6 linked regions of the Danio rerio genome follow. The protein of the gene in region 1 purifies or fractionates together with the protein of each later gene. This does not show direct contact. Links are inferred from orthologs where the notes say so. Each region holds a gene or a part of one and is shown on either strand. Other genes may lie near its edges. The genes, in order: zgc:171971, polr3b, polr3glb, uri1, polr2f and si:ch211-140b10.6.

The links.
Region 2: the proteins of zgc:171971 (region 1) and polr3b purify together in Homo sapiens (affinity purification with mass spectrometry; 8 studies listed by BioGRID and IntAct, counting the BioPlex papers as one, with this or other methods). This does not show direct contact. The link is inferred for Danio rerio from reciprocal best matches to the Homo sapiens genes POLR3D and POLR3B.
Region 3: the proteins of zgc:171971 (region 1) and polr3glb purify together in Homo sapiens (co-immunoprecipitation; 4 studies listed by BioGRID and IntAct, counting the BioPlex papers as one, with this or other methods). This does not show direct contact. The link is inferred for Danio rerio from reciprocal best matches to the Homo sapiens genes POLR3D and POLR3GL.
Region 4: the proteins of zgc:171971 (region 1) and uri1 purify together in Homo sapiens (affinity purification with mass spectrometry; 3 studies listed by BioGRID and IntAct, with this or other methods). This does not show direct contact. The link is inferred for Danio rerio from reciprocal best matches to the Homo sapiens genes POLR3D and URI1.
Region 5: the proteins of zgc:171971 (region 1) and polr2f purify together in Homo sapiens (affinity purification with mass spectrometry; 5 studies listed by BioGRID and IntAct, with this or other methods). This does not show direct contact. The link is inferred for Danio rerio from reciprocal best matches to the Homo sapiens genes POLR3D and POLR2F.
Region 6: the proteins of zgc:171971 (region 1) and si:ch211-140b10.6 purify together in Homo sapiens (affinity purification with mass spectrometry; 6 studies listed by BioGRID and IntAct, counting the BioPlex papers as one, with this or other methods). This does not show direct contact. The link is inferred for Danio rerio from reciprocal best matches to the Homo sapiens genes POLR3D and POLR1D.

Annotation. Positions count from the first base shown.
Region 1 is NC_133187.1:7,835,675-7,839,906, forward strand, and holds the start of zgc:171971 (uncharacterized protein), read right to left. Parts: upstream 2,801-4,232; 5' UTR 2,747-2,800; coding exon of another isoform or gene 2,742-2,746; 5' UTR 2,718-2,741; intron 2,435-2,717; coding exon of another isoform or gene 2,434-2,434; coding exon 2,260-2,433; intron 93-2,259; coding exon 46-92; intron 1-45. UniProt on the Homo sapiens protein: DNA-dependent RNA polymerase catalyzes the transcription of DNA into RNA using the four ribonucleoside triphosphates as substrates.
Region 2 is NC_133193.1:16,764,684-16,768,183, reverse strand, and holds part of polr3b (DNA-directed RNA polymerase III subunit RPC2), read left to right. Parts: intron 1-124; coding exon 125-233; intron 234-2,967; coding exon 2,968-3,090; intron 3,091-3,500. UniProt on the Homo sapiens protein: Catalytic core component of RNA polymerase III (Pol III), a DNA-dependent RNA polymerase which synthesizes small non-coding RNAs using the four ribonucleoside triphosphates as substrates.
Region 3 is NC_133191.1:47,264,670-47,268,906, reverse strand, and holds the start of polr3glb (DNA-directed RNA polymerase III subunit RPC7-like), read right to left. Parts: upstream 2,801-4,237; 5' UTR 2,606-2,800; intron 2,372-2,605; 5' UTR 2,369-2,371; coding exon 2,261-2,368; intron 558-2,260; coding exon 428-557; intron 1-427. UniProt on the Homo sapiens protein: DNA-dependent RNA polymerase catalyzes the transcription of DNA into RNA using the four ribonucleoside triphosphates as substrates. Specific peripheric component of RNA polymerase III which synthesizes small RNAs, such as 5S rRNA and tRNAs.
Region 4 is NC_133193.1:16,045,299-16,049,514, reverse strand, and holds the start of uri1 (unconventional prefoldin RPB5 interactor 1), read right to left. Parts: upstream 2,801-4,216; 5' UTR 2,514-2,800; coding exon 2,433-2,513; exon of another isoform or gene 2,029-2,432; coding exon of another isoform or gene 2,002-2,028; intron 1-2,001. UniProt on the Homo sapiens protein: Involved in gene transcription regulation. Acts as a transcriptional repressor in concert with the corepressor UXT to regulate androgen receptor (AR) transcription.
Region 5 is NC_133178.1:1,278,189-1,282,341, reverse strand, and holds the start of polr2f (DNA-directed RNA polymerases I, II, and III subunit RPABC2), read left to right. Parts: upstream 1-1,353; 5' UTR 1,354-1,376; intron 1,377-2,033; 5' UTR 2,034-2,165; coding exon 2,166-2,185; intron 2,186-2,430; coding exon 2,431-2,500; intron 2,501-3,510; coding exon 3,511-3,641; intron 3,642-4,153. Other genes in the region: uncharacterized protein, read right to left, coding at 183-242, 518-539. UniProt on the Homo sapiens protein: DNA-dependent RNA polymerase catalyzes the transcription of DNA into RNA using the four ribonucleoside triphosphates as substrates.
Region 6 is NC_133199.1:25,556,342-25,560,487, reverse strand, and holds the start of si:ch211-140b10.6 (protein POLR1D-like), read right to left. Parts: upstream 2,801-4,146; 5' UTR 2,714-2,800; coding exon 2,691-2,713; intron 2,398-2,690; coding exon 2,323-2,397; intron 35-2,322; coding exon 1-34.

The sequences.
Region 1 (4,232 bases):
AAATACCAAACAAAGCAATAGAATGAGATCTTTAAAAATACTTACTCATCTTTACTTTTGCGAACGGAGTGAACATTTGGAACAAAGGTTTTCTGCAAGGGAAATAAAAACACAGCGAGTCAATTAATAATTGCTTGGTTCATTATTAAAGTAACACTCATATTTATTACACATGACCAGATAGTAATTAGACTAAAATTCTAATAAACTGACAAGTATAAACATAGTATGAGGCATTGACATGATGACCTAATTTGATGTCTGCATTAAAAACAATTTACAAAAAATTTAATTTAATTTAATATTAAAAAGAATATTCAATGTAATGAAGTGTCTATAATTTGATGTCTCAGACTTTAGAGAAAGTAAAATGTCAAGAATATGGGTAAAATAATATTATTCTAGTGTAATTTAAAGTAACAGGTGCATTCATGTAAATTTAACCTGCATTTATTAGATAGATAGATAGATAGATAGATCATGTTATCATGTTATGTGATCATGTTAAATTGTATTATACAAATATATCCTAATGGTTATGGTTTTAAAAAAATGCGCTGCACATTTACATTTTCTTCATAATTTTCTCCAAAGCAGGTTTGAAACCATGTTTTTATTGTAAAAAAGCACAATGCAAGTAACATAAGTTAAAGGAATAGTTCACTGAATATTTTAAATGTAATAATGAACTCACCCACAAACCATTATACATTTCTTTCTTCAATTAAACAAAATTTGATATTTTGAATATGTTGAAAACCTGTAACCATTGACCACCATAGTAGGAAAAACAAATACTAAGAAAATCACTGGTTACAATGTGGTAAAGTTAGTTTTATTTTCGCACATTCTGACTTTCTCCTTAATAATATAATTTCAAACAAGTATTATTGTTTTATTAATGTTGTATCACAATTATACAACATTGTCCACAGCCAAATAAATAGTGCTAATGTTGTTTTGAAGTTACATGTGATTTCAGTCCTAATATTCCTGATAAAGTACTATGGTAAACAATACTAAGGTAAAGTTGATTTTGTATTCGCACGATTGTTCAGTTTTTAACAGCGACAACTTGTGACACGCTCCCTGTATTGTTCAACAAGCTACTTTGACTATTCAGTCTGAAATAGCATGTAAGGATGTCTTCAAAACAACATTGGCACTATTTAACTGACTTTAGTTGTTAATGTTTCCCTTTGACAGTTGTTGGCTGCTAATATTAATTCATTATTTAGAATTTGCAAACAATACTTTTCTCTAGTTATATTATTAAGGAGAAAGCATGAATGTGTGAATATAAAACTAACTTAACCAAGTTACCGTAAACGATATAGTGAGCATTAGGCATGGGACAATAACCGTTTTCGAGGTGTACTGCGGTTTGGAAAAATCAAGGTTTTAAAACTGCCGAAATCTTTTGCTATACCGTTTCCTAAGGTATGTATTTGTTTGTTTTTTTTATTTATATTTTAATTATTATTTATTTTATCTCGTTTTTTTTTTATTTTTTTTTGTTTTGTTTTTTTTTAGGACAAATCTCCGACAACAAAAACATATCTAAAGGTGCTACTTTAAATTGTAAAGAAATTTGAGTTTTTGAAACTAATGAAGACAGCAGAAGTCAAAGACTTGTTTTAATTATTTACTGTAGCCTGACATGTTTACTGTTGGAAAATATTTAAAATGTTTCTCAAAGTAAATTTTTTGTATTTAAAGTGGAAAAAAAGTTTGTTTTTTACCCAGAGATTTAAAAAGAATATATTTTAGAGAAGTAATCACAATACTGTGAAACCGTGATATTTTTTATCCAAGGTTATCATCCCGTCAGAATCTTGTATCGGCCCATGCCTAATGATCATATCACAAGTTCTGAATGAACGAGCGAATACAAAACCAAATTTAAAATCTCAATAATAGTTACAGGTTTCCAGCATTTTTCATAATTATTTATTTTGTGTTTAAGGTAAGGTAAGGTAAAACTTTATTGTCCCAGTTAGGGAAATTTGTCTTGTGATGACTGCAGCTGAGGGCAAGAGCCCAAACATGGACAAAACAATAAACATCCAAAACACAAACAAGTAATTCAATAAATTCAACACAAGACAGAAACGAATAACGTTAAAGGTTTGAAACAAGGAAAGAGTAAGTAAATGATGACAGAATTTTTATTTTTTTGCGTGAACTATCCCTTTAAACCAATCTTTTGTCTTTGTTAAAGATTAAAAACAGCATTAAAAAGGTATTAGAATGAGTAACCTTTTTAAATCCTCCCAGGGTCAGGTCTCTGGACCGCAGGGAGGTCAGTCTGCCTGGTGGAGGAGGATTGTGTGAAATTCTCCCTGGCAGTCCTTTAACGTTGCCCAGAGCAAAAGACGGTCTGAAAGTGGAAGATGAGCTCGCCTCCGCGTCCCCATCTCCATGATCACACATCCTGCCAAACACACAAACAACAAACCCTACTGAGCAGCGTGCAATATGTGATTACTCAGACTCAAACAAAGGTGAAAACCTTAATTTTCCAAGAGAAACGCTCGTTCAAAATACACTAAATGTGCGCTGACTTGGATTTCAAGACGCGCGCGCCTCCATTTTGTTAGCAACCTATGCTATCAAAACAAAGCCTTTCATAGCACTTTATGACATTTAGACGGACATATTTAAAAATGCTGCGCACGGCTGCATTAGAGATAAGTGAAAATAAATACTATACGTACTTGAAATTTGTGTAAACTGCTCACATCATATCTGCCGAACTCTTCCAGCTGACAGCTACATCCTTGCAGGAGCATCATTGGTCACGTGACACGAGCCCTCTGTTAGGAAAAGATTACTCAGACATTTTATATTATATTATATTATATTATATTATATTATATTATATTATATTATATTATATTATATATCATTTTTTAATATTTACATATTATTATTTTATATATCATCTATATTATATTTTATTTTATATTATTATATCATTTTATATTATATTTATCACAATAACAAATTTTTTAATAAAAATAAATAAAATATATTTAAAGTTTTTATTTGTCCATTTAGTCTTATGGTGTCATCATGATGGTTTTGTTAATAAACTCTCAATTAATAAAATATTAATAAACTTTTAACTTAAAAAAAATTATAAGTGCTGTATATTAAATAATAATGAACTAATTTTAAATATTTTGTTTTTAACGGTTATTTTATCTGAACAATAAATAAACATTTTGTTTCAAATCTATTTACATATATATTTATAGCTATTTTTATAAATATCATATTGTATTAGGCCTATATAATGATATACTATAATAACTCTGGACTGTATTTCATAAATACTCTTTAAAATTGTAAATGGTAAATTTTAATTTAATGCACAAACATTTTAAACATATTTATTTATAGTTTTAATTTAATGCACAAACATTTTAAACATATTTATTTAAAGTTTATTTCATTCCTTTTATATGGTCTCTTTTGTGTCATAAAATGGTTTATTATCGGACTGAATTTTAAAACTACTGTCTATGAAATTTCGTGTTTTGTGTAAAATATACTCAATATTTGTACAATACATTTATTTTGAATATTATGCATTAACAAGTATAAAATAAAACTAAAATGAAAAGGTGAAAAATAAAAACATATTTTATAAAAAACTGTTGTAAAAGTAACCACTTCAGTAAGTTTTGGGACACAGACCCCTTCCATCCACCCTTCTTCTAACTCATATTGAACAAAGGGCGGCACTCAACTTTTGGCTGCCCTCACTTTTTTATTCCTATTTATATTATATTATATTATATTATATTATATTATATTATATTATATTATATTATATTATATTATATTATATTATATATTTTGCTAGCAGAGAGCTTATCATTCCTGTTAGAAAAAGATATAATAATATAATATAATATCTAGTTTTTCACAATAATGAATAAATATTGTTCATTAAAATAATGTAAATACATTTAAAGTTTATATTTGTGCAATTTGCAACTAATGTTTCTGAAATAATTTATATAGTTTTGTTTTTTGTAAAATATATTCAATATTTGTAAAATATATTTCTATTTAATAATTTAAATAATACACAATTAATTATAAAATAATAAACAAATTTTTTAATTTAATTTATACACTGGTATTGCCCCAAAAAAACTCTCGAAATGTTACTTAAGAGTCAGACTTATCAACATCATATTTATGGCGTAACAGGAGCTGAA
Region 2 (3,500 bases), on another chromosome or scaffold:
CTTTACGGTAAGCTCTTGTAAGTAAATAATGTCATCATTTTGGTTAGGGTTTTCATTTATGTGAAATCAATTTAATCTTTGATTTTGTTTTGTACTCATCTCTCTTATTTTGTCTGGTTTGTAGTTCTACTCATGAGAAAAAGAGCAGAACCAACATGATTGTGAAACAGGGCCGCTTTTACCTGAAGCACAACACTCTCTCTGAAGACGCACCCATCGCTATCATCTTTAAGGTGGGCATTTGTCTGAAGATGTTGGTTTAAAGCAGGATTGTTTTGTGTCTTTGTCGGCTAAATTGAATTAGCAAGATATAATATGCATTTGTCTTTATACAGTCCAGTATTTAGCTCTCAGGAGACATGCTGCTAACAACCAATAGATGGCGCTGTTTGACAAAAAACGGTTCTGAACACCAAGTACAGCAATTTAAATGTATTTTTAGGAGGTTATAATAATACAAAGTATATCTGTTGTAAGTAAAATCAGATTTTTAAACCGTACATATGTACGTATGTAATGTACGTATGTTACAGTAGCAAAGAACAATGAAAAACAGTATCACAGTTTCCACAAAAATATTGTGTTTTTGTTTCTAGCCTTGATAACATGTTTACATGAAGCAGTAATTTAAAATATTAGAATGATTTTCAGCTTTGCAGTCACATGAATACATTTATTATTTATAATACATTTACATATTTAATTCATAATTAATTGTTACTGTGTTTACTGAATTTTTATTGAATTTAGTCTTTGAAAGCATTAAAAACCTTTTAAAAACATCATACTCACCCTATTTTATTCACTCAAAAATTTTAATTTGCTCATCTTTTACTTGCCATCAAGAGTTTTCAAACCTTTGAGTTTTTTTTCTGTTTTTTGAAACTGAGTGTTATTGAAATACATAGTAGATAATAAAATAAAAACATAGAGATCAATGGCTGCAGGTTTTCAACATTCTTCAAAATATCAGTTTTTGTGTTTAACAAAAGAAAATCAAATGAAATGCTAAATGATTTTTTGGGGAACCCTTCTTTTTAATGTTACTATAACTTTCTATTATGATATTGTGCTATATGCACAAAGACTTTTAATTTTTGGCCATGCAGCCCAAGGGCTTCCCATGAGCTGTCTTTTTATTACAAAATTGTCACGTTTAAGATCTGATTTCTTTAATTATCAGCGATCTTCACTGCCTGTTAGATATACTGTACAATATAAAGTGGGTCTCAGATTGGACAAGAAGCACTGCATTAAATTCCATTTCCTCCCGCCATGTCTTTAAGATATGACAGTTTATTTTAACTTGAATTACATAACAACATCAGTGCTGTAATAACAACCTTGTGAAATTGAAGTCACATTAAGATTTCACCTGAAGTTTATCGTTAGCTTTAAAGCTCTAGCTGTGCATAAAGCCCATTAATCATTTCTCATGCATTCATTACATACATTTGCCATCCAAAAAAAAAATCTTTCCTCAAATATTATGTAGTATTTATATTGTTTGCATCCTTTCAGTGCATTTTAGCTGGCAGTTCTCCATCTTAAATGTCATGTGTCAGTTGAAACGGATATATAATTAGAGCTCAGATCAGTGGACTGGTGATGGATGTTAGTCGTAATTCCCTTAGCCCAGACTCTCTAAACATATGGGTCTGGTCGGTTGGGGATGGGGTGTGGAGTAAATCGGCAGTCAAGCTTGTTTGCTTTGCACTTGTCTGTCCACAGCACATTCCAGCAGGATTTCCTTGCAACACAGCAGCCGAGCCAAACGGTGGAGACCTTTAAGCACTCTGATCCACCCAGTCCTGTTCCCACAGTCCCACATTAGCATAAATAAATGTCATCGAGACCTGTGCCATCACATTCACCTTTGCCTTAAAGCAGAGTCCTACACTTGTTTATTTATGTTAGTGTGTGTCTGTATAGATTATGAAGCTTGGGATCTTTGACATGCATGTGTTTTTTATGGTTACATTTGTTTGCTGTGTCTGTGTTACCGTGTAATTATACATTAAGTACTGAATGATGTTGCTATGTGGTTAGATGGGTAGTTCACACAGAAATGAAAACTGTCATTATTTACCCACTTGTCACTTGTTACAAACCTGTGCGAGTTGAATATAAAAGAAGATAATTCGATGAAAGCTGTAAACCTGTAACCATTGGCATCAAAGTATGTTATTGACATCTAAATGGTTACTTGTCTATCTATTTCTATATCTTATAAAAAGGAAAAAAACGTCAACAAGTGGATATTTAAAAAAATTATTATGGTTTCATATTGATTGCTTTTTAATAGGCTTCTTCACACAGTGAATGTTTTCGGACTCTAAAGACACTTTTTTGACAGGTTTGGGACATGTTTGGTTAAAAGAATAGTTATTATATCATTGTAAAGAATAAATGTTGCACAACCCTTCTGGCTGCTACACTTAACACAGCCCAAACTCTCACTATTGGTCAGAGAGGAATGTGATTGATGGATTTGGGCCGGTAAAGGTTTCTGGCGGTATGATAACCCTTGATAAAAAAAATATCACGGTATTGTGATTACTACTATAAAATAATTTAAAAAAAAAATCTTTGTATAGCAACAACTTTTTCCCCAATTGAACACAATATATTTTATTTTAGGAAACATTTATAATGTTTTGGAACAGTAAACATGTCAAGCTACTTGATTAAAATAAATAAATAACATCTGCTATGTTTATTAGTTTCAAAAACACAGATTTCTTTCCAAGACATAAAAAACACTGAAAAAAAAACCCTTACATATACCATAGGAATTCTATGACAAACCTTTTCCAAATCACAGTAAACCTTGAAACTGGTTATCGTCCCATGCCTAATCTGGTTTGATCACTTTCAGTTTTAGTGATTGGGTCTGTTTAGGCATTAAAAATATTGAATAATTGAGCTTTAAGTACCATCTCTACTCATTTCTTTGTCTTTCGTCAGGCTATGGGAGTGGAGAGTGATCAGGAGATCGTTCAAATGATTGGCACAGAAGAACATGTAATGGCTGCTTTTGCTCCCAGTTTGGAGGAGTGTCAGAAGGCTCAAATATTCACCCAAACTCAGGTACCCCAGACAGAAACTGCTTTGCATTGCTTGTAAATGCATAATACATAAAACAATTGTTCCAGCTTGAATGACACTAGAAGTATTTTCAAAGTCATTTGCCTAGATCATCACCATATAGCAGAAATAATCTGGTTGTCCAACTTTTTAGGTTTTTTTCCCCATTTTTGAGGTGTATTATCAAATGCTGGATCTGAGATTTATTATTCATCACAAAGACACATCAATGGGTCAGCAAGGACCACATCTGCATCCTAGCAACCAGTGTCTGAGCGGATGTGAATGCCTGTGTGCGTGGATGTGACATTGTGCGGGCCTCATCAAAGGTCCACTAATGAGCCCACACGTGTGCACCAATTGACCAGAGCAGCCCTCAATTAGATAAGATGTGTTATTAGCACTGAGAATCG
Region 3 (4,237 bases), on another chromosome or scaffold:
TGAAATAAAAGCCGTTTCTAACATATCAATTCGAGGTGTTGGTTAGGACAAAAACTCCTTTTAATATGGAAAATATTTGTTCTATCACGTGCCGTTGCTTTTATACTGAACACGGTTTACATTAGGCTTGAGACTCGCTCCTCTTGGTCATCTGGCAACCTGCACTTGCATATGTTTTGATTCTGGAATGTAATTCCTAGTTCAACCACTGGGTGTCAAATTACATACCTTTAAACATTTGCACCTTTAAATGTTATTTACAATAATTGCATTAAGACTCAGGATTAGAAAAAAAGGATTGCATATGTGCCAAAGTGTAGAAATCGCATGTTATGTAATTTCGAAAAAAAAATGACATGATACAATGAGCATAATATAAGCCCTTTAAAGATGTCAGTAAAGAGCTAGTCCTGGGCTCTGAACTGACCTTTCTTGGGAGCCGCTGGACGGATGTAAAACGGGAGCGTCTTCATGGCTCCCCTAAACTCCTGTTTGAGGGCCAGCATGTACTCGGCCTCCTCACCTGCCTGCAGGGGCACTGGCTTCTGATCCAGAGGCTGAACACATCAAACAGCACATTCACATCTGTCTGCTGCTCACACAAACACCTGCTGTCACTCATTTACACATGCCAAGACAGAAATCAGCTTTTAATAGGGCATACAGCTAAAGTCAGAATGATTTTTTTCTTTTTTAAAATATTTCCTAAATAATGTTCAACAGAGCAAGAAAATTTTCACAGTATGTCTGATAACATTTTTTCTTCCGGAGAAAGTCGTATTTGTTTTATTTCGGCTAGAATAAAATCCATTTAAAGGTCAATATTATTAGCCCCATTAAGAAAATTTTTCTTCTTCGATTGGCTACAGAAAAAAAACATTGTTATACAATGATTTGTCTAATAAACCCCAATCAACCTACTGTAGTTAAGCCTTTAAATGTCACTTTAAGCTGAATACTAGTATTTTGAAAAATATCTAGTCAAATATTATGTACTGTCTTTATGGCAGAGACATCTACAGACACTTAAAATGGCAATAAAATTATTTTCTTTACTGTAATAAAAATGTTAATTGAAATAAAAAAAACATACAGTTGAAGTCAGAATTATTAGCCCCTTTTTTATTTTTTTCCCCAATTTCTGTTTAACAGAAAGATATTTTTTTCAGCACATTTCTAAACATAATAGTTTTAATACCTCATCTCTAATAACTGATTTATTTTATCTTTGCCATGATGCACATAATATTTGACTAGATATTTTTCAAGACACTTCTATACAGCTTAAAGTGACAGTTAACGGCTTAACTAGGTAAATTAGGTTAACTAGGCAGGTTAGGGTAATTAGGCAAGTTATTGTATAATGATGGCTTGTAGACTATCGGAAAAAAAATTGCTTAAAGGGGCTAATAATTTTGACCTTAAAATGGTATTTAACAATTAATAACTGCTTTAATTTTCCAGAAGAAACAATATTATCAGACATACTGTGAACATGTCCTTGCCCTGTTAAACATCATTTAAAAAATATAAAAAAGAACAAAAAAATTCAAAGGGGGGCTGATAATTCTGATTTCTACTCTTACTTCCAGCAGGATAACGCGCCATGTCAGAAAGCACAAATCATCTCAGACTTTTTTTTTTAACATCACAATGAGTTCACTGTACTCAAATGGCCACAATATTCACCAGATCACAATCCAATAGAGCATCTTTGGGATGTGGTGGAAAAGGAGATTCACATCATGGATGTTTAGCGGGCAAACTGCTTGATGATATCATGTCAATATGGACCAAAATCTCTGAGGAATATTTCCAGTATCTTTTTGAATCTATGCCACGAATGATTAAGGCAGTTCTGAAGACAAAAGTGGTCCAACCCAAAACTAGTAAGGTGTACCTAATAAAGTGGCCGGTGAGTGTAAGTGGCTTATTATGTAACTGTTAAGGTAAATAAGGTGGAATACTGTGATGATGTGTTCAACAATAAAACAATTTGAATTCTAAAACAAATATTTAAACAAATATGTTGTTGTGATATTAGACACTTTTAAAATGTAATGTTTGCTGAATGTTGAACAGGACCGTTTTTTCAATGCAATTTCTGTGTAGCTCGTGACGCCATCCACATTAAACTATTAAAGCACTGCGTTTATGCTCATGAAATGCAGAATCTGACTCATATCTTGATAATAGCAGTGTATAACAAGCGTATAACAGTTTATAAACGAGGCTTTATTGTTGTGTCTTGAAGACTCACGGGGAACAGAGGTGTCGGCTGGATGCAGGACGGAGGGAGATTTTCACCTTTACCGATCCCAACTATCTCCACAGAGAAAGTGAGCTGCCCTCTGCCCCTTCCTGCCATCATCTGAGACAAAATATTTCACATTTATTAATCATACATCCTCTTTATTTAACTCGTTTATCCGTTATTCACAGTATAAGTTTACTCATTATCAAACAACTAAATTCGGCTAGAAAAGACACATTTAGGCCAAACATGTTAAAATATTTATTTTTACATAAATGTACTTTTGGTAAATGTTTTATTTTCAATGTAACGTTTTATTTGTTTTGACCGAACTGTAGCATATAAACACACCTCTTTCACTCAATGCGGCGAAATCCCTCTTTATTTTCAACTTCGTTTCATTGTGCAAAGGTTTTATTGGTTAATCCGTCAGTAAACGTGGTTGTTTTTAATGTAATTTCAGGTTTTATTGATGTAAAATTGAGCAATAAAATCACCCGCCAAACATCTGCCCGTTTGTTTTTGCCCGCTTCTGAAAACACTCCTGCCAGAAACATGAGCGCGGTCTTTTATGGTTCCGCGTTTCGCGTCAGTTAACGTTAACCAGTGCTACTCAAAGTGAATCATGCTAAACAAACAAATCATTACAAAATATGTAAGGATTCATTACATGTTTTGCATATTGCTCACAGAGATGCTGATGCACATGCTAAAGATTATTATACTGTAGTCAACATTTGAAGTGGATCAAAACCTTTATCAAAGTTGTTCCAAAACTATTCAACAACACACATTTTTAACTTAGGACAAATTTTGATAAACATTTTTGATCTGTTTTAAATGTTGGCTATTATTTATTAAAACTACTGTTTATGTAGCCTATAACTAAGTTACAACACTTTATTACATATGTGAAACATATTTGTCCGTGTACATACAGTATAGATATTTCTGTAATTCATGGCTTTATTGTATAATACTCACAGACACAGTGCGTGTGTGTGCGCGTGCATGCGTGTGTGTGTGTGTGTGTGTGTGTTTACAGTTGAGGTATTGTTATTAGCCCCCCTTAGAATTCTTTTTTCTTTTTAAAATATTTCCCAAATGATGTTTAACAGGGCAAGGAAATTTTCACAGTATGTCTGATAATATTTTTTCTTCTGGAGAAAGACTTAATTGTTTTATTTTGGCTAAAATAAAAGCAGTTTTGAATTTTTCAATGAAAATTTTTAGGGTCAAAATTATTAGCCCTTTTAAGCTTTTTTTTTTTTTTTTTTTTTGATAGTCTACAGGGGTTCTCAAAGTGGGGGACGCGCGACAATGAAGGGGGGGGGGGTCGCCTAGTTATTTCCAAAAATCGAGTTATTTTTATTAAACCATAAGAATTACCATATTTTATCCATAACCTACTGAAGAGAAAAATCTAAATCATCTTTATAGTGATTTAACATTTTAACATCTTTATACACTATATACTGCTGTATTGAGTTACTATAGTAGCTTCTAGTTACTAGTTCTATTGGATTGCGACCCCTGGGGTAATTACATTATGTTAAAGACAGCAATAGCGTCAGATGTAACAGACTGATTTTATAACACCAGGTTAAACTTTCTGGCACATTAACAGCACTGACATACATTAATTCCACAAAGAATAGACATGGGTTTCTGTACTTATAACCACCTCAGAGGATGTTGGGAGTCGCGAGTCACTGGCATTGTCGTTTTGGGTGTCATGGGCTGAAAAGTTTGGGAACCCTTGGATTACAGAACAAACCACTGTTATACAATAACTTGCCTTATTACCCTAACCTGCCTAGTTAAACTAATTAACCTAGTTATGCCTTTAAATGTCACTTTAAGCTGTATAGAAGTGTCTTGAAAAATATCTAGTCAAATATTATATACTGTCATCATGGCAAAGATAAAATAAATCACTTATTAGAAATGAGTTAATGTTTATTAAAAAACTATTATGCTTAG
Region 4 (4,216 bases), on another chromosome or scaffold:
AATATTAAAAATACCACAGACAACAATTAACAACCACTGCTAAATTATCAGTAATGTTTTAGTAGCGTGAATTGGCCATCACAGAGAATGACAGTCCTGAAAGTTCCTTGTGAAAAGTGGGACAAGCCTTTACATATTATTCCCATTCATGTCATTTCTCAATAAAATCAGAGTAAATGTTACATTTTTTTTTTTTTTTGCTATTGAATGTTTTTTTTTCAATTTCCATAAAAGGAATGAGGTTATTTCAGAGTGACTGGCAAAACAATGACAGTTTCAAGGTTAATTATGTGCTAAACTACTAAAATAATGTGATGATAGTAGGTTAATTATAACTTCCAATGTAAATACTGGTGTGGAATATGCAAGATCTTTACAGATTCTACAGGTAAATGACAAGATGATGTCAAAAAAATTTAAATAAACACACAAACACACACGTTTTGTTTGGCTGTACGATATTCTGCTATATCAGCACTTGTACAGCCTTCATACTCTTCTGTATTATTCCGCCCACATAGAGTGACAGCAGATGAAAAAACTTACTACAGATTGACAAATATAAGGGTTTTGGACAACATAATGTACTTTTGAGGTGAGAATGTAGTTGTTTAGATTGCAACTTTGCAGTTTATTTATAAGGATAGTGGCAATTTTAGAATATTTATAATTTCTGAGAGACCGTTAGCCTGTCACTGAGCAAAGCATAGACGGTTGACGTTTTGCTACAGAATGGCGACAAAAACCTCGATAAGTGCTTAGGGGAGGAAAAATTCAGCAAAAATAAAAATAAAAAAAATCAAATTACAGCTGATCAAATCATTATAAATAAGTGTCACTAAGTTGATGTTTCTCTTTTGTATGTTGTAGTGCTGTATTTATACCATAGTAATCTGGTTGCATTTGCGTTGCTTTGGTTTTTTCGGGGTTAATTATTGTGATCCCCCAATCGCAACAGAGAAATACTGGGAAATCTCTAAACATTGATGGCATTTCATGCCGTTCATCCTTATAATCTTAAAATGTGAGCAAAATGACCTGTTTTGTCATCACTTTAGACATTACGCTAGAGAATCCTTTAAATACTAGCTCTAAAGTGACGTTAGTGAATTAGCACAGGTTTCTGCTGTTCTGATGTCAGGTGCAGATGTGAATAATTGCCAGAAGAAGGTAGTTCCTCATACAAAAGTGTTTTTGAGAGACTCCGGTAGTCTTATGCCACTGAACTGTTGAACTCGTGGCAGTGTGATATGGCTGTATATCGTCACTGGTGGGACACTAAGGCCAAAGGGTACCAAAAAAGAGGTACGGTTCGCTTTTAGGTAACTTTTGACATTTTAAATGGCCATAAAAGCATTCCGAATACTAGGTAATGTCAAATAGAACTTTATAATTCTAAGGTGACGAGATTATATATATATATATATATATATATATATATATATATATATATATATATATATATATATATATATATTAGACACACACAATTATAAAACAAACTTTTGTAATATAAAGAAACTAAATTTATGACAAAGTAGTAAATGAATGATAGAATGATACTGGCAGAGAATATGGATTAAAAGTTACAAATACTTTGTGTTTTGGGGTTGCACTGTAATGCTTAGGACTAGGAGTATTTTAATGTCATCAAATGATACATGTTCTAAATATACCTGCCAATATACAGTATATTCTACTTGGTATAAACTTCTGTTATGGTAAAATATTTTTTATGGGTGTCTTAAGCTAAATGTGGCCATAATAATAAATGTAATAGACAAAGCTATAATTATTATTTTGTTGCTCAGGGATTCTAAAACAGTTTTTTTTTAAAACACATCTTTGCTGTAAAGAAAGCAGGTCAAACGTAATTTTCAAATCCAGCCAACTGGGTGTTTATCTTCAACTGTGAACAAATGGGGTCAAAGACATTGTGTGTATGACATTCACCTATTCTTTTCACTCCATGCACATAGAAATGGGTCAATTAAACCTTACCTTCACAGGGAGTCGTTTCCATTTCATTGCCTACTCTAAAAGTACTTTAAGCTTTTACTTGCTCTATACATTAAGGCAACGTGGGCATGTGCCATGTGGTTGATTAAATTGGAGTTAACGTCACATGTAAAGTTTTCTACTAACATCAAGATAAGCTTCATGTAAACACATACACGTGGATTTTACAGCAAAGTATTAAAAACACATGCAAACAAAAATGCAGTAACTGCAAAAAGAAAACCAACGGCAACACGTGATACAGAGAGAACTTTCCAGAGAATGAAACGGGCAACGCTGCAAATATACAAAATAAACGACATTAAAATCGACGACAAATCTTTCAAACGCTGATGACAAATCACGTTTATGAACATCAACAATAATATCTGCAGGAATGCATTGTTGTTATGGAAATAAACATTACTCCTGACCTTCCTGTGCTCATCTTTCAACCTCTCCACGCCTCGAGGCAAATCTCTCGTACTCCGTTTGACTTTCCCAACTGCAGCCATTTGCTCGTGCATCCACAATCAAGCAAGGTTTTTGTGTGATTAAATATCCAAAACAATGAATGCTCAGGGGTTTGAAGTCCTATAGAAATGTTTATGAATGCAATGTGATGCGTTGCACTCAATTTGTCGCCTCGTAGTCATCAATGAAGCAGAACGAGTCGTCCAGTATATCGAGATTGAGACCATTTCACACGTGCATGGTACGATGTCAATCTAATCCCGAAATTTCCTCTTGTTTACAGTCCACCGACGGCCTGCTTCCCCTGCGCCATGTTCATCTAATCACGGATGTAGTACGTGCTCTGGATATCGCTCTCCTTCTACGACGCAAGCACGTGATCTCCCACTTTTGCTATTTAATTTCACTTTCATTTATAATTTTCGACTTTAAATGCTTAGCTGCAATAAATTTATTGAGTTATTCGTGGACTTAAATGATTACATGCTGAAATGAAATTAAATAAACAACTTTTAGTATTAACGCCACTCTTTAAAATTGGCAAACGAAAGTGGTCGCTTGTTGGGACACGTGTATATATACATATTTTGATAACAGTAAATGTAGGTACTGTCTAAGCGCTTTTGTTCTGTTCACTTTATATGTTTAAATGAAAACATGGGTTGATGATGAGAGGATGTAAACAATCCTCACGCCAACGTCACGTGACGTTACGAAACAGGAAGTCGTACAATTTATGATTCGACAAAAACAAAAGGCTTCTGTACAATTCAAGGAGCTTAGAATGACCATTCATGATCATTCTAAGCTCTTTGGTACAATTTCATGTAAGAAAGTTTGCTCATTACCCCACATTTAAAATAAATAAATAAATAAAATAAGAGAAGTTACATTTAAACTGATTAATAGATGCTATCCAAACCATTTGGATCTAAAAAGGCTTATGAATAATATTAACATCAACTGTCCATTTTGCTTAGAGATTCCTAAAACTTCTGTTCATTTATTTTGGAATTGGCCTCATTCAGTGACATTTTGATGTGATATTCTTGATTTTATAAAAGATTATGTGCTGGCACATTTTGCATTTACTTATAAGAATTTTTTTTTTTTTTTGGTTTCTGTAAAAGTCAAAAGGAAAGTAATACTTATTTCATAACCTGATTTTTTTGTTGGGCAAATTTCATATTCACAAAAACAAATTTTGTAAGTGTATTTTGTTTAGGGTTAGGATTTTCTTTCTTAATGTAAAATTGAAATGAAAATGTATTTTGAGTCTATTGAGGGATCAACAAACTTAAAAGCAATAAGAACAAGGACTTTATTGCAGGATTTGGCACTTATCTTGGACTAGATGACTGAAAACCCCTGGATTGTTGTTGTTGTTTGCCCTTACAAAAATAACTGCAGTAAACGAGAGCAGTAAACTGAAGTAAAACTGCAGTACAACAGCAGTAAATAGAAGTATAATTGCATATGAATTAAGTACAATTGCTATAAAAATGAAGTATAAACACAGCTCAAATGCAGTACAATAAAGTTTAACTACAGTTTAAGTTCCAGTTAACAAAACAAGTAAACTCTGTCTTTACTGCACTTGTGCAGTATGCCAATGTCTAATATGCCAATGGCGTGTTAAGTACTACACTTATGATTCAAGGGATTTGTTCTTCAACACCTTCCGAGAATATTTTGTACTTTTTTAGGGATGTATTTTTTTGGATTCAAGTAATTTTTTATTAAG
Region 5 (4,153 bases), on another chromosome or scaffold:
ATTCATAATCATTGCTTTTGCTAATGCAAGTTTTATGCCCGCCATTGGCATAAAATAATAATCCTAAAATAATTCTGCAGAAATCTGCAGATTTTTACCAAAATTCTCTGCAGAAATAGCAAAAAAACATCCGCAGATTCCGTCTGACCCTACTTATCAGTGTTAAAAATATTAGGACTTACTTTTGGGTGCGTCTAGCTCTATGCTCTGACTTCTCTTGTGAGCAGAACCAGGAACAACAGCTATAAAACATTAAATTAAAAAACATGTTAGAAAGATCAGCACTGGAGTGTTACTACAGGACATTATTATTTTATCACAGTGAAAACGGTAAACATGTAGTGAACATTATGACAGATAATTGCTCAAACCATATAAAGCCATTTCATAGTGTATAATTCTAACATCTTTATTTTAAAAAGCCACGTCTTCATCTTTATGAGCTGTTTTCTTTTGGTTTTGTGATGGTTAGTTTTTGACTTTAGGAAATAGCCGGTTTGGATGAATAAACTCTGACCTCTGCTTTCTCTGCCGGACATGTTGATTCTCTGTTTTTTCTTCAGTCTTCAGTCCATCAACTTTCTATTTGCACCTGATGATTGTCTCTTTATCACCCTGTCATAGATTACACAGATTTTACTTAGCAAGTTATATATTGATTTGTAACTTTTTTATACTCTGTTACCAATGTTAATGTTTGTGTAGTCTATATGAACATCTACTTACACTTTTTTGCCCTGAACATATGCGGTAAACAGCGCTCTTGTATAGTGATTAAATCAAATAGGCCTATTTATAACAAAGTGAACATGTTTAATGAAAGGAGGACAACAAAGTTCAACAGCTGTAAAAGTTTTACATTTACATTTCTTTAAAACAAGCTGACACTGCACATTCAGATATAGGTTATAGAATAGGCCTAGGCTACATTCAATTTTTGTTTTTGTTATCAAACACACCTGAAAGTAAAACCAACCAAATCTAAGGCTTGATTGCAACTACACACTGAATACATCCAAAATAAACAATTTCTTCCAAACATCGCAGTTACATCTATACATTTGCATATTTTACAAATTGATTATTTAAAACAAATGTTTACCGTGTCGAAGATAGTCTTTTCCTTCTTGAAAACTGGAAAAACCTGTATTTTGGGAGGAGTTTTGTGAAGTCACAAGACACTCTTCACCTCTTTTTTCTTCTATTTCAATGGCGGGTAACACCAACGCCGTCGCTTAAAGAGGGAAGTGGGGGGGAATGATTAGTCTGTAAACCTAACCTCTAGTCCACAGTGCAGAGCTGAAGGTGGCGGTAATGCACCAAAACGCTGGATGTCAACCGCCGTAAAATTATAAGAAGAAGAAGAAGAAGAAGAACGCCGTCGCTTTGGTCATATACTAGGTGTAGGAGTGTGAACCAGATCAAGTTCGCATTCCCAAATAAGTAGACATAGTAGCCTATATTTTATAGTCTCGTTCAGTTCTGTTGTCTTTTTATCTTCATATGTTTGTCTTGTTAGACATTTAAATGTAAAAATATGTCAATTTGATGCTAGAACAGGGTAAAGTCTAGATAGGATTCAGCTGCGGATATGCACATCAATATCTGTGATAAGAACAATTAATATTTTTACAGTACTGTGACGGTTGGGGGGTATACGTAAAATACATTTTATTAAGTAATTTAATAAATAGCAAAGTACAGCTACTCTGTTTGCTGTTACGGCTAGAACAGGACAATATTAGATATGGGGATTTATTTGAAAATTTATAACCAAAAGTTTTACAGCGTTGAAACGTCTTTTTAGCATCCCGTCTTTGTTTTATAAACCATCACACATTTCCTACATTGTCTTGTTAAGAAATGTAAAGTGATTGTATTGTATAAGAAAACTGTACATGCTGGTTCTTGTTAATAAAAAAATAATAAATAAATAAAAACATTTCCTACATTGTGTCTTTTTTTACTGCTTTACGATTTGCGTGTTTGCGGAACGTCAGTGCTGTGGATCGTGTTTCTGCACGGACAGTGACGCTGCGGCAACACCGGAAAATCCTTCCACGCTTGGAGTCGCGCTGCGGTAAACTAGCTGTGAGATTCCAGACATAACATTTTTCTTAAAAAATTACCTATTAAACCGGGGTAGGAGACGCAGAACACTAATAATGTCGGATAACGAGGACAAGTGAGTTTCAAACGCGTGTGTTGCGCTCAATGTTTTACTGTTTTCGAACGTTTAAAGTGTGTGAATGTGGAAAACAACAACATGCGATCATTTCCATACTGCGACACAACATATATAACGATGAATGTGACTTACACAGACCTGACAGCTGAGTCTTATTTACCCGATATAGCGAAGACTTGATTTGTGATTTATTGTCGATGACGTGTTTGTTTATCTCAGAGTTTGTTTGTTTGTTTGTTTAGTTTTGATGACGGAGATTTCGATGATGTTGAAGATGAAGAGCCTCTGGATGATCTGGAGAATGTGGAAGATGTAAGATCACACTTTCAGAGAAATACTTGCTTATATTCTGCCTGGTAATCATTGAGAAATGGAGTATTATAGTCAAAGATTTCTCTTATTTCCACATGAGAAATACCACAGAGTTACAGTTTAATAATTTGAGCCACACTGTAGTATTTTGCTGTATATATTATAGTATTTTTCAACTGGTTATTAATGAATGCTGCAACATACTGTAATATTAACTATAGTGAACTGAGAATAACTGTAGTATACAATAGATTTCTACAACTATGGAGTATATTATACTTCAATACACTACAATTTACTGTAGTAAAAACACAAGTATTGGCTTATTTGTTTATATTACTAAAGTACAATACATTCATTCATTCTCTGTTCGGCTTAGTCTCTTTATTATTCTGCGGAATGAACCGCTAACTTATCCAGCATATGTTTTACACAGCATATGTGTATGGGAAACACCCACACAAACTCATACACTGTGGCCAGTTTAGTTGATCAATTCCCCTATAGTGCATGTGTTTGGAGGAAACCCACGCCAACATGGGAGAACATGCAAACTCCACACAGAGATGCCAACTGACCCAGCCGGGACTCGAACCAGCAACTTTCTTTCTGTGAGGCGCTTGTGCTACCCACAGCGCCACCGTGATGCCAATATAGTAGAATGATATAGTAGAATCACCACAACAGATCAAATCAAGTACTCCACTATAGTATAGTGTTTGTGTATGCGTGTTTTGTGCTTGCTCATGTGTGTGTTGTGCATGCTTTTGTGTTTGTATTTTGTCCTAGCATTTGTGTACATTATGCATATTTGTGTGGGTGTGTGCATGCTTGTGTGTTTTGAGCATGCATTTGTTTCTGTGTTGTGTATGTATATATGTGTGTGTGTGTGTGTTTTGTTTAATTGTGTGTATCGTGTATGTGTTTGTGTGTGTTTTGTGTTTATTTTTGTCCAATGTTTTGTATGTGTGTGTGTGTGTGTGTGTGTGTGTGTGTGTGTGTGTGTGTAGGAGGACCAAGAGAATGTTCAGATCCTGCCGGCAGGTGAAGGACAGCAGGCCAATCAGAAGAGAATCACCACCCAATACATGACCAAATACGAGAGAGCGCGAGTGCTGGGAACACGAGCTCTGCAGATTGCGTGAGTGACCGATCCACAATCACCACTCAACACACACACACACACTGCCAAATACACAACATTACCAAACATGGAGATGCACACTGCAATGCCTCAATCTCTGAATCATCTCGCAGCATTAATCTGAACGCTCATACTCTGTTCATGTGTCCTTTTCTCTGTCCTCTGTTTAACTGTGGATTGAAGCACTGCTTTGGTTTCGCCTAACTTGCTGATCTTGGTGTCTGATATTGTGAGGTTTTATTTTTCTGTGATAAATATTGTGATAATACAGTTTCACTAGAGAGTTTGATTGGCTCTGTTTGACTGATTTCTGTGGAGAAACAAATGCTTTTCTTACTTTGCTTTCTCTCGTTTCTAGTCCAAATATCTAAAAATTCTTAAGAAAATATTTTGTTTTCAACTTTCCATGAACTTACTTTTGAAATTTTTCCCTAAAACAATCAAAATGATCTGCCTCTTATCCGTTTGATTAGCATTCATTTCAAGAGGAGCATTAAAGTGCAAAACCC
Region 6 (4,146 bases), on another chromosome or scaffold:
GCGCTTGTTTGTGCTTCCCAGTGGACATTTCATCCTAAAACAAAACGGCAATTTAAGCAGCTTTAGGAGACATATATAGTAGTTAATTACACACATACATACATACATACATACATACATACATTCCATAGATATATACACTATCGCATATGGTTCCTGAGCATGCGTCAATTGCGCCGCCACATTTGTACAGTGCTCCCAGGACATCATTCAACTGCACTAATCAAGACTAAAGCCAATGTGAAGATGCTGGACTTTAGCACTGCTTACGGGTGTAGTAACAAGCAAACAAAGAAAACCAAGCACAAAGGCAGAACATTTCATAGGTAAGATTTCGTTTTTTATGTTTTTGTATGTTACAAACTGGCACTCAATTCTAGACTTATGCTAGTTTTGTTGAATAAAATGAGATAACAATGTAAATGAAATATAACAAGAAGGTGCTGCTGTGAAAACTTGTATTATTGTCAACTAAGTGATCAAGTCCTTCTTAACAGAGATTCATTCACAAACGAATCCCTCCCTCCGTTGGAATGAAAAGTGAAAGCAGGAGAGGGGGTGTGTTTAAGGACATGAATTAGATCAAATTAAACAGGGAGGGTAGATAATACATTTCCATGCACACAATCACACACTCTTTGCCAGGAATGCCCATGCAATCATTTATCCATCAATATAGAAAAGTGATGTAAACTTATAATTTTTGTAATTTCATAAAATATTTGCATACTGACCAATGGAAAACCCCCCGATCGTAAATAAATGTGTATATGTGTATATATGGATGGCCAGTCCTCCGCTGCACCTTGAACCCACATTCATTTTAAAGAAGCGCTACCCTGTACTAAAATGGCGACTCTATCGACAAATTCCTTTCAATAGATGAAAAAAGCGTAGGCAACATCTAATGTAAATGTCTATACATACATACATACTGTACATACATCTTTTGATTTGGAGGACGATAACCAACATTTTAAACATAAATCGCGTAACCTTCACAGAGCAAATTAGCATGCAACTTGACTGTTGCATAAAAATAATAGGTTAAATGACAGAACTGTATTTAATTAACAAACAAGTTAAATACATATATTTTAATAAAATGAAAAGGAAAATGAAAGAACTAAGGACTGAAGCCAGCTCAAATGTTCTACAATTATTAGTCATTTGACACTTTTGTTACCGCACTCCCACAAGATTCTCCCGTAAAAACACCAGTAAAAACGATTACACCCAATTAAAAATAAATATTTCTTCTAGCCATTTTCCAATGAATACAGCCAATCATCTTTGGTTTATTTAAACAGAACAGTTATATGGTTCAGTCATTTAACACCTTCGAGGATAGAAAATAATACACTTACAATCAAACAAGTTTTTGCAAAAAAAAAAAAAAAAAAGTATTTTTCCCGTTTATTAATATATTATTTAATATTTTCCCCCAGTATATTAATTAAGGTGTACTGATTTTTGCACTGTGATCTTAAATAGTTTTTTTTAATTATAAGCTTGTCATAATATCTATTTTTTCTTGTATGATATATTGCACCAACATATATTATGATGAACAATATTGTCATTTTGAGACCATTTTATGCCACTTATTATATAATGCCAAAATGACAATATAATAACATCAAAATGCAAGTACACTCTTCTAAAGACCACATAATATTTTATTCTTAAGGATGTTTCATTTAATTTATAGTCATTTTAACTTTAATAATGAGGCAGGGGAATCAGCATGTGAAAACACATATCCTGAATAAATAGTAGTAAAAAGTGCAATGTAAAAAGTAACAGAGGCTGCAAGATCTGCTACCAGATCTATTTTCAGTTGTCAGACACCTGCATGAAAATATACTACAGTAACATAAAGAGGTTGCACCATCAGCTAAAATGTTGCTAGAATTGACTTTTATATATGGGCAATATATATTACATCACCAAAAATGATAGATGTCATGTCAATGTGTTGTGCGATAAGTCGATATATTGATTATTGTGAAAAGCATATTTGATTAGTCACAGTTTTGGCTTTTGTACCTTAAAATCTAAAGAGTTTGTGCAAAATGCATTACTGTAAAGCATTTTATACTACATATTAATTTAAAATACAGATCTTTAAGGGGTGTACTCAGTACTGTATATATACATACACAGGTTTAAGTTCACATCCGAAAACCAAAGTTACACCCTTGTGTGTGTGCGCGTGTGTGTAAAAGAGTGGGGGCAATAGTGGTTACTAATAATAGAAAAAGACTTCAAATTGGTCACTTTAAATATCTGTAATTTATCAATTTAGTGATCCAAACTTACCATCCAGCAGGACCCATTGTCTCGACACGGGCTTTTGCTCTGTTCGCTTCTTTAAGGAGCTCCTCCACTGCTTTTCTGGGGAAATTATTTACAGTGAGACATTTGACGACAGAAACGGGTTAATTTATGTATTACCGTGACCCCAAATTAAATAGCACGTTTAAATCTCTGACGGTGCAAAATAGACTTTTCTAGGATACCGAAATGTTTGCTATATAACAAAAGTATGGTGCTTCGTCTCAGGTTTTGGTTTACACAAATTTACTGACCAATTTGCACGAAGCCGAGGGCGTTAGCATATTCTGCATCGTAAACTAGTCCAATAAACTGGTCAAAAGGGGGAAAATTGACATTTAGAAATATCATACCTTTCCAGTTCACTGTCTTCCATGATCTAATTAACCTTAAACCGCAGTCACTGTTAATTTATAGCTTGTTCCAGCTTGCTAACCAGTAACGTTAGTGTTTACTATTCTCGAGGACCCAATTTAGGACCCCGGTCCGCTTGACCATCTTAGTTTTGACTAAATTTGCGGAAGTGAGCAGACAGTAAAATTCAAACTAAAAATGTAGAAACTATCTGCACTTGGAACAAAAAGTACGTACATTTAAACAGTCTATTTTAGTTTATTATTTGACTTAATAATAGGTTTTACGATCGCACTTTAATCAGGCATCTCGATGGTCACAACTGATATTCGACTAACAGCGCCGTCTGCAGCCTGTCAAACGAACGGTAGTGAAAAAATCAGAGTCATTTCATCAAATGGTTCATTTGAACAGCAGCTCTGAATGGAACAGTTCAACATGTTCCGACGGTTCTTTACGTCATTACATGATCCCAAAGCGCATTACATGACATAATATCTTTACAGTCTTTTTATTTATTTAACTTATGTAATTTATATTTTAGTTTATTTTATGTTATAGGTTACATTTGTAGTTTTGGATGTCATGTTTAAATTGTATATTTGCTGCTGTTTAATAATAATAAAAAAATAATAAATAAAATAATAAATAAATCAATTAATCTCTTTTTATCTTATCTAAATACATGAATGTTGACAATACTTGCACACTTATCACATCTTTTCTATAACTGTGATGTCTCTTACATTTTAGTATGATGTTAGTGACGTGTTATTTGGGCAAATACATGTTAAAAGATTGTATTTGCTCTTTACACACACACACACGCACGCACGCACGCACGCACGCACACACACACACACACACACACACACACACTCATTAGAGTATGTTGGTATGTTGTTAATTTTTACATGCTACAAGGTTAATATTTTATTCATAAACAGAAGTTTGCGAAGTGTATACCAAAATGCTATTAATTTTTATTAGAAATGGAAACTTTGAAAAAGTTTCTAATGCAAATTAATAACAAAAAAATGACTTGATGTTAGATTTCATGAAGTTTTTTTTTCTGGTACTGATCCCTCACTGTAGTCTGATTGTGTGCCAATCTTTTTTTTTTATTACTAGTTATATTTAATTTAATATTTTTACTTGTTATGTTTTTGTTTTAATATTATTTCTGGATGTGGCTTTTTGCACTTATTGTAATGGTCTTGGATATAGTTTGTGTCTGAATTTTTATTAATACATAGTGTTATGTTTTAATGCTTATAATTAAAAAAAACTTGATCAAATATCTTAATTCTAAGTCACTTGTGAGCAATAATTACTATTTAATTAATGTTTTTTTTCTTTAGATATTTATTTAAATTAAATGTATTTAAATATAAGTTTAGATTCACTAAAAACAGAAATGCATTCAGAGGAAAAAAATTATATTTGTTTTCCCAA